Linked DNA regions of Astyanax mexicanus. Each later gene encodes a partner of the first gene's protein in a complex. Links are inferred from orthologs where the notes say so. Each region holds a gene or a part of one and is shown on either strand. Other genes may lie near its edges.

Region 1 (7,900 bases):
CCAATACTAGACCTGCACAATACAATATCACAATGCAGTAAATGAAAAATGATGAATGGAAGAATGTTAAATGCTTGTACGACTTTAAAAATAAAATTTCCCACCCACCTGGCACCCACTATCAGGCCTCGCTCAAACTCTGATAATTAACACGTAGGGTGTTTAACCTCACTCACCTGATAACACCTCACAACTGTACTTGCAGTTGCAAGCTGTACACAAGAGACACGGCTTCATGATCATGATTTAATGATTTATGAACTCCTATTCCAAGACTTTTGGCATGTCAAACAAACAATTTGACCAAAAAAACCACTACTTTTGTGTTCACAATCTTATTTATTTATTTATTTATGACTTATGCAAGAAACATTATCATCACTTTTTTATGTTGTTTACCATGTACATATATATTGCAATTGTTATACAATCAATGTAAGTTACTTTTTCTATGGATGATTTGTATCATTAATGAATTGTTTAAATGATTAAGTAATTAATATCCACTGTTCCCAAAATATACTTTTTCTTTCTAATTTTGCAGAAGAAATCATTTTTCAACATTGACCCCCGATCCACTAGGGCAGAAGGTTCCTGTGGAGCTGTGAAGTGCGTTCTTTCACTCGTTTTTGATGGAGGAAAACTGACCTTCACTTTCGTCAAGGTAAATAATTTCCACCACACTGGTAGCAAATCTGTTGTAATGCATCATGGGTGAGTTCAGTTATCGTCGTTATATGAGCTCAGATGATTATGTATATCAATACTTCCTAACTAAAACCTGATCAGACGTGGACATTAGTCCAGACTGACCAGGTCAGCAGATAACTTTAGCTAACAGTCACATCCAGTCACTTTAACTAAAGCTTTTCTTGGAAACAAAAACACACAGTGAAATGTACGCTAACTTAGTGCCAAAGCTTCACGTCTGTAACATTCTGACATCAGGAACCTGAAGACCAAAAACCCACCCAGATAACATGAACATGTGCGGCCAGTATGTTTAGCCCTGCTGAGTTTTGATCATGGGTTTCATGTTGGCTCCATATGTTGATCAGTGCTGGGTCCAGGATGGGTTAGACATGGGCCTCATCTGGGTTGGGTAATGCATATAGGGCCTAGATGGGACCAATGTGATATTAAGGGTTCCATCCTGTGAGTCCCACACAAGCATGTTGGCTGTACACACTGAAAGACCAAAAAACACGACATATCTGAAATGTTTCATGCCCAGAAATCTGGCACAGTTTTAGACCACCTTGAATTATATTTGTGCAAGCAATGCTGCACAGTAAAATAGTGCACCATCCTCCCGACTTAAATTTCTATGATAACTTGGTACAGTGGTTCTTTCTGAGAATATACTCTGAGAATATTCTTGATCTCATCCTGACCGCTGCAGTATTTTTGACATTTCACACTGTTGAGACCACAGGCTGAAAACACCTCATTAACTACTTATAGATCTTTTTTATATTATTTCTCTTTAGACAGCTGCTTAGAAGTAATCATGATTGGCGAGTGTTAGTATGTGGTTGAAGAAGTCAGAGAATTATTGAAGCTTGGAAATTTGATTCAGCTGGTTCCAGTATTACAGTTATAGCTGATGATGCATCTTAAGCTTGAGCCTTTGCAATCCTAAGGAAGCCCAAACAAACAAAGTCAGCCTAGGCCACTTTTTTATTTATTTTATTTCTAATTTTGAGCGCACTCTGAGGAAAATGTAGTGACTCAGGTCCGATACATCAGCTCACAGATACCTTGTGCTGAGTGACATCACCCTTTGGAGTGATGTGGGGAGAGAGTGCCATCTACCCACCCAGAGAGAGCAAGGCCAATTGTACTCTCTCGGGGCTCCGGTTGCTGATGGCAAACTACATGAACAGGATTCAAACAAGCGCTCTCCTGGTCATAGTAGCAGCGCTGGACTTCTCGGAGCCCCCCCTAGCATAGGCCACTTTTAATAATAAATAAATAATAGAAATGTGTTTTAGAACTCATTAGACCCTCATTGTAATGCCTAGCCTCTTTATTTTGTCTCGCTGCAGAACATAGTTAAGACTATGATGTTGTACTAGGGTAAAGGAGTTCTGATTCCACTGGTATTTTGATCATGCTTTGTTTCAATGGCTTTTGCAGGATGGTAGTGTTTCCTATGTTAGCGAGCTGAAAGCCTCCTTGGAGCCAAAGCCTTCATGTAAGACATGCAAAAGTAAGTACACCCTCAATATGTAACCAGTGAAGTTAGAGTTAATCTGCATTTGGAACTGCTTTTAATTAGAGAAATAGTTCCCTATACTGTGTCAACCATTTTGTAGTATTGTTTAAAATTTCAGTTGTATATTTTACTTACTATATAATATAGGACACCCATTATTCATAACACAATATAGAATACAGATGATGTACAGTAGAATATTTAGGGTATACTATAATGCAATAAAGATACATGCTGCTGGATCATTTTTGCTGGTGGTAATACAGTATTTTTCTGTTTCTTAGGCAAAACCTATTCTGGTGTTATGGACCATGAGAAGCTCTTCTCAGTCAACAGTAACCAGAGTTTCACATGCAAGTCTGGGACGTACCTTATTCTGTCTGAAAGTCTCAGGATTAAGCTTGTCCCTTTGCAGATTCAAGCATTTAACCTGCCCAATGGAACATTTGGAAAAGGTATGTAGATTTTTAGTTCCAAGAACACAAATACACAATAGCCCTAAAAAATAGCTTATGCTGTTTAAAGGAGTCAGAATATCGACAAAACTCACAGCTAATGTAGTTAGGACAATATGAGGAGAACTACTTGAATGTTCTTTGTCTGGTTAGTGGGTTTCAGATAAATTCCAGTGATGAATATCTCTAAACATGTCCTATATAAGGTTGGGTGATATGGGTCTAAAATAATATCAATGAAAGGACCATTTGAAGCACTTTTTTAAAAGAGATTTCTTTGGTATAAGTAAAATTCCAGCCTATATGTCCCACATTTCTCTGATCAGCAGCCACACTAAGAATTTGCTGTGTAATGTCATTGCAGGAGAAGAGTGCTGGGCTGATTACAACAAGCGGATCCTCCCCATCATACTGGGTGCTGTAGCAGTGGGTCTCATCCTCATCAGTGTGCTGATTTTTGTGTTGACTCGCGATCGCCATGGCGGCTACGAACCACTTTAAGGACTATGATGTGTACATACAATATACTGTACAGTGATGTGCAAAAATCATAAAACTTCTGAAATAATGCTTTCTATAGAACTGTTTCTCTGAGCAGCAAATTAGAATAATTAGAATAAATCTAAATATACAATCCATTTTTATTTTGTTTCACACTAAGAAAGACATATAGATATAATCGACTAAAAAGGGCCAGTGTTTCCCGTTTTCATTTAACACCTAGATTATGTAATCAATCCTTAAAAAAATCAAATCTAATAACATTGTAGGTCACGATTATGCAGAATAAATAGAAAATACTAAAGGGTTCACAACATTTAAAGCACCACTGTATGCATGTATGTATATATATTACTCTTAGAATCCTACATCAGTGTTTGTAATGTTTCTGTAGGTCATTTTTGTACTGCATTTTAAAAGAGTCTTTTTTAAGATAATGCAAAACATTCTATATTTCTGTTTACATAATTGTGCATTCACAAGTGTTTACAAGCCTTTCTTCCATTTATAGACTAAAATGTGCTGTACATTTATTTAAGCACTGTTATTTCTGTGCTCGGTTTAAAAGGGAGCTGATGCTAAGCTGCTGTTTCCAGTGATTGTGTGGTTGTGGTTGCTAAATGTGAAAACCAGTTTTATTTCATTTATTTTAAAGCATTTCTGTCCGTTCTTCATCATTAAATTTTAATGCAATGTAAAAAAAACAACAGCAAAAATAGAGATCAATGTTTTGGCGTGAAAATAATGATACATTTCCATGTTTCTAAAAGTAACTGACTGTGGGGACTTCATAGCAATTTTAACGTTTACGTGTGAGTGTGAGTAAATAAGTGTGTGAATGTGCTCTAGACAATTTATTAAAAAAAAATAATAATTAATGGCCTGTTCTTTAAACTTCCGAATCTCATCACTCACTTGAACAATCAAGAGCAAACCAAATTAAATACTGCCTCCTCAGACAAGTATCTGAGGCAGGAGTGCGCTCATGTCTAATAAAAGTTTAATAATCTAAAAAAAATGCTAATGGGTAATGACTATACAAATAAATGTTCATATCCAGCAGTGAACTATACCGGTACAGATAGTTGCCTTTGTGATTTGATTAAACAGACCTTCACTGTTACACTAGCTACATTCTGGGAAAGTGTGGAAATCAAGTCAGCTAGCTATTTCCAGTTTCAGGCACATGTATAGACCTTCTGTAGGGATGTTCTGTATATCTGTAGCAAATGTATGGTACACCTGATTCTAATTTTAAGTAATAAATCTGGGGGTATCCTAACTTTTTTTTCTTATCCTAAGAAATTTTTCTACTTCTACTTATTCCGTTTTATCATAGTTCTTTTTTTTTTTTTAGTTAGTTAGTTGTGCATCTCTTAATATTGGTAACATGTCCACATATTTATACATGATAAAATTTTAAACAGATATACTTAGAAAGCACAATATTATTTGGTATAAATTACTCTGTTATATATAATTTTGTTTGCTAAATATGTTTGCTTGCCAAATATTGGGTTAATCCCTACAAAAATCTTTTCTTCTTTTTTACATTACTCTTTATTTTTACCCCAATTTATTCATTCCCTCACTTTCAGGCTTTAACACTCCTTTTATATCTAAATTATATTATAAATTATATTCTTTTTCATTCATATTACATGGCTGCTCCACGCCTCCCCAGGCTTTAATATCATTGGTGTAACTAAAGTACGGGTCGCGGGTAGGTTCAGACCATGTAGCCCGCTGGCTAGTATTAGCAAACACTTCAGTATAAACTACACTATTATAGAGGCTGTTTATGGCGGAGACACGGACTAAGAAACTGAATAAATTCTAGAGTTACATAGGAATAGGAAAAAGTATATCTGTGAAGCTAACTGAAGGACATGAGACGGTTTTAATTAATTCCGTCAGTTCAAACCGGTCAGTTAGCTAACGCTAACTAAGCTAAGATAGTTAGCTTAGCATTTACCTCAGCTTAGCTTGTGAATATGGCAGCTGTCTTGAAGCCACAGCTCAGTCAGGGACTGAGAGCACACATCCAGTAAGTTATTACAGCTTTAAAATATATTTATGCATGTATTTCCGGTTTTATGTAAAGAGCAGAGACAAAAATGCAGTGGCCAGAGTTTATTTAACCTAGTGTTTATAGCTAATCTAGCTGCTACCTAACAAGTAAAGTTGGTTGTAAGCTAAGCTACCAGCTTCTGTTTATGCTTAATTTATAAAGTTACAGCTAACAGACGGCTAAGCAAACGCATTAACACCAAAATTAGCTCAGTATCACTCATGTGCACAACTTTATTTGCTTTAAATGTGTTTTTATTATCTCCAAAACCCTTACAGACAGAGCCAGAATGCACAGAGCTGGTAGGGTGCAAGGTTAAAGGCATTCCAGGCACTTCAGACTGACCACCTCTCTAAGCTAGCTAGCTAGTTAACTCTTTTTGCAAGATTCTGGCATTTAGACAAGCTAAATATTGTTGGGAGAAATTTAACATGACATGTAACATTTAAATAAACCAGTGGCAAGTCATTCAGCTGTGTGTTCTGACAGTGAAGGTCAGCGTGTTTGTTTTCCAAACCTGCCTCCTTTAGCTACAGACTAAACTAAAGGTGTTCTCTTGCCCACAGGAAACTAATATGGACCAAAGGATGTGTCAGGCATGCTTCATTGGGTAAGTGCATTGTAATCAGAAGCTTCTCAGATCAGTTAAGATTCACTGTATGTTCAGATGTGTTTGGGCAGATAATTAGTAGGTAAGCTGGTGTGCTGGAGTTAGACACATTTAGCTTGTGTATATTACAAGCTGTACAAATTGTTCTATACAAAAACACTGGCCAGAGGTATGAGATGCTCTGGAGCAGCTTATGGTCATCATACCCATTGCTGAGCTTGGGTTAGAGGACTGATGAACAGTGAAGCTGCATCATCTGCGTTCTCTAGAAAGATTGAGCTCCATTTACTAGTTTTGGGATGAGCTGGGAGTGGCAGAACTAATCAAATCAAAATCAGTGCCAGCAGATTTCCTCTATGAGGCCTCTCTCATGAGGCTAAACACAATCAGATCTGCACAGCTGTGTTCTGACATCTAGTGTTAATCCTCCAGACAAATAGAGGATCTCACTGCAACAAAACAGGGCTATCTGCTTATTAATACCCATGATTTCAGGGAAAAAAAAAAACTCTTATGGACCTGGTGTCCAATATTTTACCTAAAATTGTAGTTCCAAGATGGTTATGTACATACTGTATTTTATATTTATAACATTTAAATTGTTCTTTTATTAATAAAAATGTTGAGTAAGGGAAAACACATGGCAATGCAAGTTTACATATTTTTGTGTATTGCATTCACAATAGCAGTAAGAAAATGTAGTAGTAGTAATAATAATAATAATAATAAATAAATAAATAAATAAATAAATAAATAAATATATAGAGGATAAAATTACAAAATGATCCAATGTGCAGTGTCTGTGGGAGAGTAGTAAATTATGATGTAAGATTTGGAATAACATTTTGTGATCAGTAGCAGGTAATACCAAAACTGCAATTCTTGATATTGGTTAGAAAATCAAGACAAAGCGTGTGTAATTTCATGCCAGCTTCATACTATTTTAAAATTCAGAAAAATTAAATTAATGGTATTATTTCCTTTCAAATATTTTTTTTCTGTCTGGATAATACTTATAATACTGGACTGTACCTACCCACTTGTTATTTGTTTAGCATAGTAGCAGTTTATTAGCTAAATATGACATTCAAAAATAATTGGACTGTTTTTGCTCTACAGCGAGGATAGAGAAAGTCCTCATTGCAAACAGAGGAGAAATAGCCTGCAGAGTGATGCGGACAGCAAAAAAGATGGGTGTCCGTTCTGTGGCTGTGTACAGTGATGCTGACAGACACTCTATGCATGTGGCCATGGTGAGAAAAAGAGACGTTGTGGTTACACAAGTTTTCAAGTGTTGCAATGTGAACATTTCATTGCAGTCAACTGTGGACAAGATCACACTTTTGTTTAAAATCACATTTTCATATCTTAATCAGCCATTGCAAAGGAATGTTCATACTTCTTCATATGTATATCTTGTAATTGATAACCGCTGTAGAGTTTAGTGTACAATTAACTTTTTTTATTATTAAATTCTAGGCGGATGAAGCATATCACATTGGAGCAGCACCGTCACAACAGAGTTATTTGTGTATGGAGAAAGTTCTTGAAGTTGCCAAGAAGTCCTCTGCACAGGTATGTCCCCTGTTGTGTGCAGGTCATGTTATGTGGAAAGTACATATGTAAGTAAGTATGTTGATTTTCTTAAGTTTAATAGGTTGAAATACACAAACACTTTTAAGTGCCATCCGAAAATGGTTGCAATTTTATCCTTTCATTCAAGCCACTCGTTCCATTTGATTCTATTGAATGAGTGAATTTCTTTAAAACTGACTCCCAATTTTTTAATACATTGCCAAAAAAATCTGTTTGAGTTCAGTTTCTATAAAACAGCTGCTGGTTCTCCTTTTCATGGCATACAGAATGCCACACTGCTAATTAAATAATAATAGTAATAAAAATGTATATATATATTTATATAATTAATATATTTGTATATTTCTTTGCCAACAAAAACAAAAAACTGCTTGCTTTGTGCAGTTTTATATTTGTAATATCAATACTGGTGTCCCACAGGGTTCAAATATAGGGCCTTTGCAGTTCTC
Region 2 (7,080 bases), on another chromosome or scaffold:
CCCAGAATCCACTGTAGACAAAACAGCTAATTAGGGTGGGCCTACTTAAACAACATTGAGGTCACATTTTGATTTAAATATTTTTTTCTTGTATGTATGTATGTATGTATGTCAGATACACTTGCAACAGTGTAAAAATGTGGAATATATTACATTCTTTTATCACGACAAGAATGCATGACTAATGTAACTCACCGAGATAAATGCATGGCAGGTGGTTCTGTTGTGCAATCTCTTGAGCGCGAAGGTGCTTCTTTACAGTAACTGGATAATAAGTACCTCCTTTCACAGTGGCATCATTTGCAGCGATCACGCATTCCACCCTGTGATGAACAGATGTATAGAAAACAATGATTCATTATCATTCCTTAATTTAAGAATAATGAAGTCACCACTTCACTTTTTTCCGTTTTAATATCAAAAAGGATTCATCACTTACCCAGAAACTCGACCAATGCCAGTGATGATGCCTCCAGCGGGAACTTCTTCACTACCATACAGCTCATAAGCAGCAAGCTGGGACAGTTCTAAAAAGGGAGAGCTGCACCCAGAGACAAAACAGTTAGGGAGCAACTGAGCACTTTATTACACAACAGTGACTATGTAGATAAATTTATAAAAGCAAGGTAGAGCTATTGTCACTGTAAAGTTAAAATTCATTATTGCAATTTTACTAATTTGGGAACCATACGTCAGTCAAAAAACACAAAGTAAATACATTTAATTTTATACCTTAACACTGGCAAAAGCATTGCAGTGGATGATTTTTAACTTGGCTCTTTTAGTCAAGAAGCCATCTTAATGATTAGCATGCTAGCTATGTCAATTATCACAAACCGTAACATACAAAAGTGAACATAACTGCTTGATAATCTTATATATTACATTACAGTGTTGCATACTGAGTTTTATTACATTTAGGGATGCATGATGATATCGGAATTATATCTGCTAATTTGCCTTTTATTTTCACCAGCATTGACTGATGTCTAGATATTACAATCCATTACATGATTACATATTTATTGTATATGTTGTAAAATGAATTGTATAGTTAATGTGTCTTGCATTGTTTACCCTGGGTCTAGGAGTCTATCAATTCGTTCCCGAGGCAGAAGCTTTCCTCTGGATGTGTGTAAGGCCCTTGCTCTTTCTCCTCCACCTGTGAGAATGAATGGAAACATTTTTCAAACCATTGGTGATCAATCAATCCTCCTTGATATATAAACATAGCACAAAAAATAATGAAAATTGTCTTTGGTAGATAACAAATGTAGATAATAAAGCTTCTTGGAAACAAGGCATTGGAAAATCCTGTTACTTTTGCTTTTAAATGGATTAAATTTATATATAAGAAAAAATGCCTCTGCCAATGCCAAACAGTGTATTCAGCTGTTGACTGGTGTTTTAACTATATTCTTGGGGTGTCATCTTCATCTTCTTGGGACTCCCACAACATCCCCTGTGATATGAAACTTGGCCTTCAGTTTGGAGATGGTACTGGGGCTCACTCTAAATAATGCTGCATATTGATTTTTCACCAGTTTGCCCCATCTAGATCAGTCAAACATGGCATGCTTATTCTTGGAGCAGACACCCATTGACCAATGTAGCTGGCTCCATGCTCACAGGTGCTACTGGCATCTGATTGGCAGCACTTGAGGTACCAGAAGCTCAAAACAGGCGTCAATAGCAACATGGCCAAATAGTATATTTACAACAAAGAAATAATCTACCAAACACAAATCTTCTTACTTTTTTTGTGCTACGTTTAGTTACATTTTGCAGATTAAAACTCCTAACCAAGCTAAACACTGCTCATGCAACTAATGAAGGATTTTAAAAGGATGGATTGAATATTGAAGGATTTTTAAAGGATGGATGCTTAGGGTGAATAAATGTGTGGGAAGTGGGTTGTTGTTGACTGCCAACCAAATTCTGGTGTTTATACAATCAATGGAAGCACAGCCTTTCCACATTTTAGCATTAGTGTATTTGCAATATGACTGCAGTAGGTATCTACACACTGCTACACTCCTAGTTGGTAATGAAACCTGCATGAAGGTTGCTCTCCAGGATCAGGCTGGTGATCACAGGGGTAAACAAACCACTACAGTTAGGTTAAGTTGCTGCTTAAGGTCACCGTCAAAAACATCAGCCACGTCTTACAATTCTAGTTCTATAGCTTAGCTAATTACTATTATAAATATGACCTAGATAAAAGATGCTCACCAAGTTTGATCTTCTCTGATCGCTCTTTCAGCTCCTTCACCAAAGCTTGCATGCGTTCATAGTTTTCCTAAAGTGACAGGCAAAGTATCAACATGTCAGAATGCTTTTAAATACCTTAAAATGACACAAACAACTAATTTTTCCACAAAGAAAGTATTTTAATACAAAAATTAAGAAACCAATGGCTGCATTTTGGCAGTTGTTTTTCTGTGAAGGGCTTTAGATCACTATAACGTTAGCTAGCTATGTTAGCTAGCTAACTCACACAACTGTCAGCTTCTTAAATAATACTTGCTAAAACAGTTTAAATATGTTTGCTTTATATCCAATATTGATCTAGTTTTAACCCAACCTGAGGTAATATGCAATGCTTTAATCGTTTACAACATATTTAAAGGATTCTCCTCAGCTAAATGTCAACAGAAAGCATCAGCAGCACAAGCCGCCAAGGGCATCCCAGTCCCCCCGCGAGAGACGCACTCCTCCACCGAGCCGCTGCTACTCCAGCCCGGGGCTTTCGTCTCGGCCTACCTGGTAAACCGGAGACTGCACATCAGCCTGGGAGCCCAGAGTGGCGACTTTATCCGCATGGTAGAGCCGCAGCAGAGCGCTCCTGCTCCGGATAAAGGGGACAGACGGTCTGAGAGCTTGCATTAACATTTTGTCACTATAAATTTAGCATTTTATTCATTAACAATAAGAAATAACCGTCCAATGTTTCCCCCAACTGAATGAACCACTGGAGGGGTGACCGAGTTGGTGGAGCCACGCCCCCTTCAAAGTCTATCCAATGAAACGGTCAGAAAAACTGACGCCCAGTTTCTGAAGAGACTTGATTGACACACACGTGCAGTAAGGGTTCCAGAGCAAGCAGTTAGCTAGCAAGAAGTGGGGTTAACAATAGTTTTTATTTTATTTTACCAAATTAAAAACCTCTGGAATATAATCAAGACGAAGATGGATGACCACAAGCCATCAAACCAAGCTGAACTGCTTAAATATTTGCACCAGTGGCATAAAGTTATCTAAAAGCAGTGTGTAAAGGTGCTTGCACACTGCACGCGGTAGGTGCGGCGCGGTACGCTGACCCCCATAGGATTCAATAGTGTCTAGAGCGGTAGAGCGGTGCGTCGCTGCCGCGGAGCAGAGCGGAAAGCGGCGCGTTTCCCCGCCCATAACCACGCCTCCACCGCGCTACCGCTTACCGCGGGCAAAGTTCAACATGGTTCAACTTTGACCTCGCGGCAAGCGGTACCTCGGCAGAAAACGCATGACGTGAACTCACGCGACTAGAGAGAAACTGTAGTCCAAACAACAATAAACGTGCGCGAGAGACTAATAATAGCGATTAGTGAATCCCCTCAGCTGTACATCACTTCCCTACACTCATATAGAGATAACAGGAGGAAGAGAAGAATCAGAGCTTTGTTCTGAGGCTGAGAAACATATACAGATCCACAGAGGCTGTAGAGACTCAAAACTACAAAACACCGCTCACAGAGGTGATGGGTTTTAGAAAACTCCGCCTATTATCAGCAGGAGACGCTTGGCGTCAGCAGCAGCGCAACGCACCCGCAACTGACCAGCGTAGAGCAGAGCGGCAGCACAGCGGAATGCCGCGCGGCATACCGCGTTCAGTGTGCAAGCACCTTAAGACTGGTGGAGGAGAACATGCCAAGATGCATAAAAACTGTGAATAAAAACCAGGGTTATTCCACCAAATATTGATTTCTAAACTCTTAAACTTTATTATATAAACTTGTTTTCTTTGCATTGTTTGAGTTCTGAAAGCTCTGCATCTTTTTTTGTATTTCAGCCATTTCTCACTTTTTCCGTTGTTTTACTCAAACGTATACCTATAAATAGCAAAATCAGATAAACTGATTCAGAAACTGAATGTTTCTGAAGTTTAGCAGTTATATATAGTTAAATTAACTCACCTCAACATGCCTTTTGCAATCATTTAGTCCCCTGTGGGCAATGCTAAAGTCACTATTACAAACTCTAGAGCGGGCAAGCAAGAGTCATTTTTTTTATTTATACCAGACACGGATATACTTTAGAGTAGTCAGAGGTGAAACAAGTTTTGGTGGGAGCATGATCTCCAGATATTGGGCCTCATTTAGAAAACTCTGCCTAGCTTCTGAAGTGAAAGTGTGTGCATGCACAAAACCATGAAATAGCTTACGCCCAAAAAAAATGCAGCACAAAGAAGTGAAATGATGGACTCTGCGCAGTAGAAGAACTTGTTTCGGAGGTCGAGGAGGAAGAAGGTGTAGTTTGGTGGTTTTATCCCACAGTTCAATAAGAATGGCTACTGGAAAACTAAACCGATCCATTAAACAATCATTCGCAAAAAAATCTTTATGCTATAATAATAATAATAATAATATTAATAATAATAGAAATACTAATATTTATATATAGCACCTTTGGATTTTAAATTGTAAAATAAAATAAACCAGATAATACAAATAAAATTGAAATAAACTACAAGTGAAATACACAAGTATAACTAACTAACAAAAGGCGAATAAGATATGGAGCACATTAAAACTTTATACATGCAGACAAAATATATTTGAACAAGTATATTTATATTTTAATATATTTTAACTTCTTTAATCTTACGTTTTTAGTCTTGATTTCTGCATTATGTATTAATATGCGTGAGGAAGGTTTACGCATTTACCTGCAATTCCGTGCTTTACCACATGATGTCACTAATTCCCGCTCTCTCCGCAATCTTCTGAATGGATACGCATCCCTCAAACCTTGCTTAAATATACGCTCATTTTCACAGCAAGTATTTCTTTATGAATCACAGTTCGTGAGATGTTGCACGCACATTTCAGGCCCAGTCTTATATAGCCCTATTCAACAAAAAACATGAAATACAATCCAAATAATGGATTCCAAAAGCCAAAAAATTGCATTATTTATTATTTAGTGACAAAATAAAACTGGAGAAAATGTGAAGCGTTAGGAAATTAATGTTTAGTTAAGTGTGCCACATATTGCATGTAGTAGTGCAGTGTTTAAAAATAAATAACCAAGAAATAAATAAGGCAACAAGGAATTTTCATAACAAGGAACCACAGTTTCACATTCATGGTCATAAATATTAGGCACATTGCACTTTGAGGAAAAAGAAACAAAAAATCAGTCCCTGTTTCAATTACATTCAATATTAAATCACCCGTAATACTTTAGTTTAATAATGTTTACCAACAGAGAAAATAATATCGATAAGGCAACTGTAAATAAAAGCTTCCAATATCTAACAGCAAAATAAATATGAAGCAAGTGTAACTAAACAGAAATAAGCAGAACCTTCTAGTAATTATAGACCATCTTTAAAATAATACTGCAGCATTTTCATGGCAAATAAAAATATTAAATATAATACTTCAGTTAAACATACTGAAACACTTGCTTTGGTAACTGTTTATGTTGATGTAGGGTGGGGGGGTGGAGGGTGTATAAATCACAGTGTTTATGTTAGTATATCAGTTAGTCCCCATCCTCCACTTCAGTGAAGATATCACAGAGGAAGAACTGAGATACTCTGGATGGTTCATCTTCAGTGTCATCACTAGACTTGGGAGAATCCTCTTTGGGTGCTATGCCAGGAGAGGTCTTCAGCTTCATGTAGAGGAAAGGAAAGGGAAGGGGACAAAAACAACATTGGTTACTGAGTGGATCTGCATTTAATATATGAATTACAAACAGCACAGATATGATGCTCAGCACTGATATCAGGCTGATCCCAACAGAATCAGTGGATCAGTGAGTGTATTTGCATGCCCTTAATAAACTAACAATCACTAAAAAGCATATTTTTGCAGCAATCCGATAAACGTGTTCACATACATTTGGGTAATCAGATAATGGATGTTTAAATGAGTCAGGAAATGCTCAGATTTCTATTTGACAACCAGCCAGTAATGTCACAAAAGCATGTGAAAAAACTACAAACTTCCTGAAATAATCAGAGTAAGGGTATGCACTGGGAATTTTTTTATCAGATTATAATTGGGTCTTAATCGGATCTTAGAAATCTGAGTGCATTTTTTACATTCACTTGCATTATTGGGACCTTATTTTTAAACAATTTGTTGTGGATTTGTTATTTAGGATGTACAGTCCAGTTCTTTTTATCTAAATAGTTTAATATACACATTTGACCTGCGTGTGATATCTACTTGGTACATGAGACATAAGACATTTCATAAGCCATTCAAATTATTCACATCTTAAAGAGCGAGAAATACAGCACTTACAAATTATACGTTTCTTTAATTTTACCAAATTAAAAACCTCTGGAATATAATCAAGAGGAAAATGCTTGCATTTTTGCACCAGGAGTGGTGTAAAGTTATCCAAAAGCAGTGTGTAAGACTGGTGGAGGAGAACATGTCAAGATGCATGAAAATTGTGATTAAAAACCAGGGTTATTCAACCAAATATTGATTTCTGTACTCCTAAAACTTTATGAATATGAACTCATTTTCTTTGCATTATTTGAGGTCTGAAAGCTCTGCATCTTTTTGTTATTTTAGCCATTTTTCATTTGCTGCAAATAAATGCTCTAAATAACAATATTTTTATTTGGAATTTGGGTGAAAAGTTGTCCGTAGTTTATAGAATAAAACAATAATGTTAATTTTATTCAAACATATACCTATAAATAGGAAAATCAGAGAAACTGATTCAGAAACTGAAGTGGTCTCAATTTCTCCCAGAGCTGCATATAATACAGGTCCTTTAAATGGAACTAGGGATTTTTGTTGTTTTCGATCCTTATGTTTACCTGTTGAGAAGTTTCTGGTGGGGATGTACGTGTAC

What was found. Proteins that work in one complex are often made in the same cells at the same time.
Region 2: the proteins of mccc1 (region 1) and mccc2 are in contact, whole or in part, in a cryo-EM structure (PDB 8JXM), measured with the Homo sapiens proteins. The link is inferred for Astyanax mexicanus from reciprocal best matches to the Homo sapiens genes MCCC1 and MCCC2. Residues at the interface, in NP_064551.3 of Homo sapiens: Glu519, Phe526, His531, Asp532, Phe534, Ser535, Pro536, Phe537, Ser538, Ser539, Ser540, Ser541, Gly542, Arg543, Arg544, Leu545, Asn546, Ile547, Tyr549, Thr550, Arg551, Tyr568, Tyr636, Leu637, Ser641, Glu644; in NP_071415.1 of Homo sapiens: Leu56, His57, Val60, Glu61, Lys64, Asp88, Ile91, Pro93, Gly94, Ser95, Pro96, Phe97, Leu98, Glu99, Gln102, Ile123, Gly124, Arg125, Gly128, Glu130, Arg234, Trp276, Leu278, His281, His282, His285, Lys298, Lys299, Leu300, Ile304.

What each region holds. Positions count from the first base shown.
Region 1 is NC_064423.1:26,094,014-26,101,913, forward strand, and holds the start of mccc1 (methylcrotonoyl-CoA carboxylase subunit alpha, mitochondrial), read left to right. Parts: upstream 1-4,888; 5' UTR 4,889-5,168; coding exon 5,169-5,221; intron 5,222-5,811; coding exon 5,812-5,855; intron 5,856-6,974; coding exon 6,975-7,108; intron 7,109-7,334; coding exon 7,335-7,430; intron 7,431-7,900. Other genes in the region: lysosome-associated membrane glycoprotein 3, read left to right, coding at 545-664, 2,140-2,212, 2,503-2,673, 3,038-3,174.
Region 2 is NC_064429.1:19,848,645-19,855,724, reverse strand, and holds the start of mccc2 (methylcrotonoyl-CoA carboxylase beta chain, mitochondrial), read right to left. Parts: upstream 3,001-7,080; 5' UTR 2,893-3,000; coding exon 2,764-2,892; intron 2,300-2,763; coding exon 2,233-2,299; intron 1,163-2,232; coding exon 1,078-1,162; intron 542-1,077; coding exon 440-541; intron 324-439; coding exon 196-323; intron 12-195; coding exon 1-11. Other genes in the region: transcription factor TFIIIB component B'' homolog, read right to left, coding at 5,746-5,877, 7,046-7,080. UniProt on the Homo sapiens protein: Carboxyltransferase subunit of the 3-methylcrotonyl-CoA carboxylase, an enzyme that catalyzes the conversion of 3-methylcrotonyl-CoA to 3-methylglutaconyl-CoA, a critical step for leucine and isovaleric acid catabolism.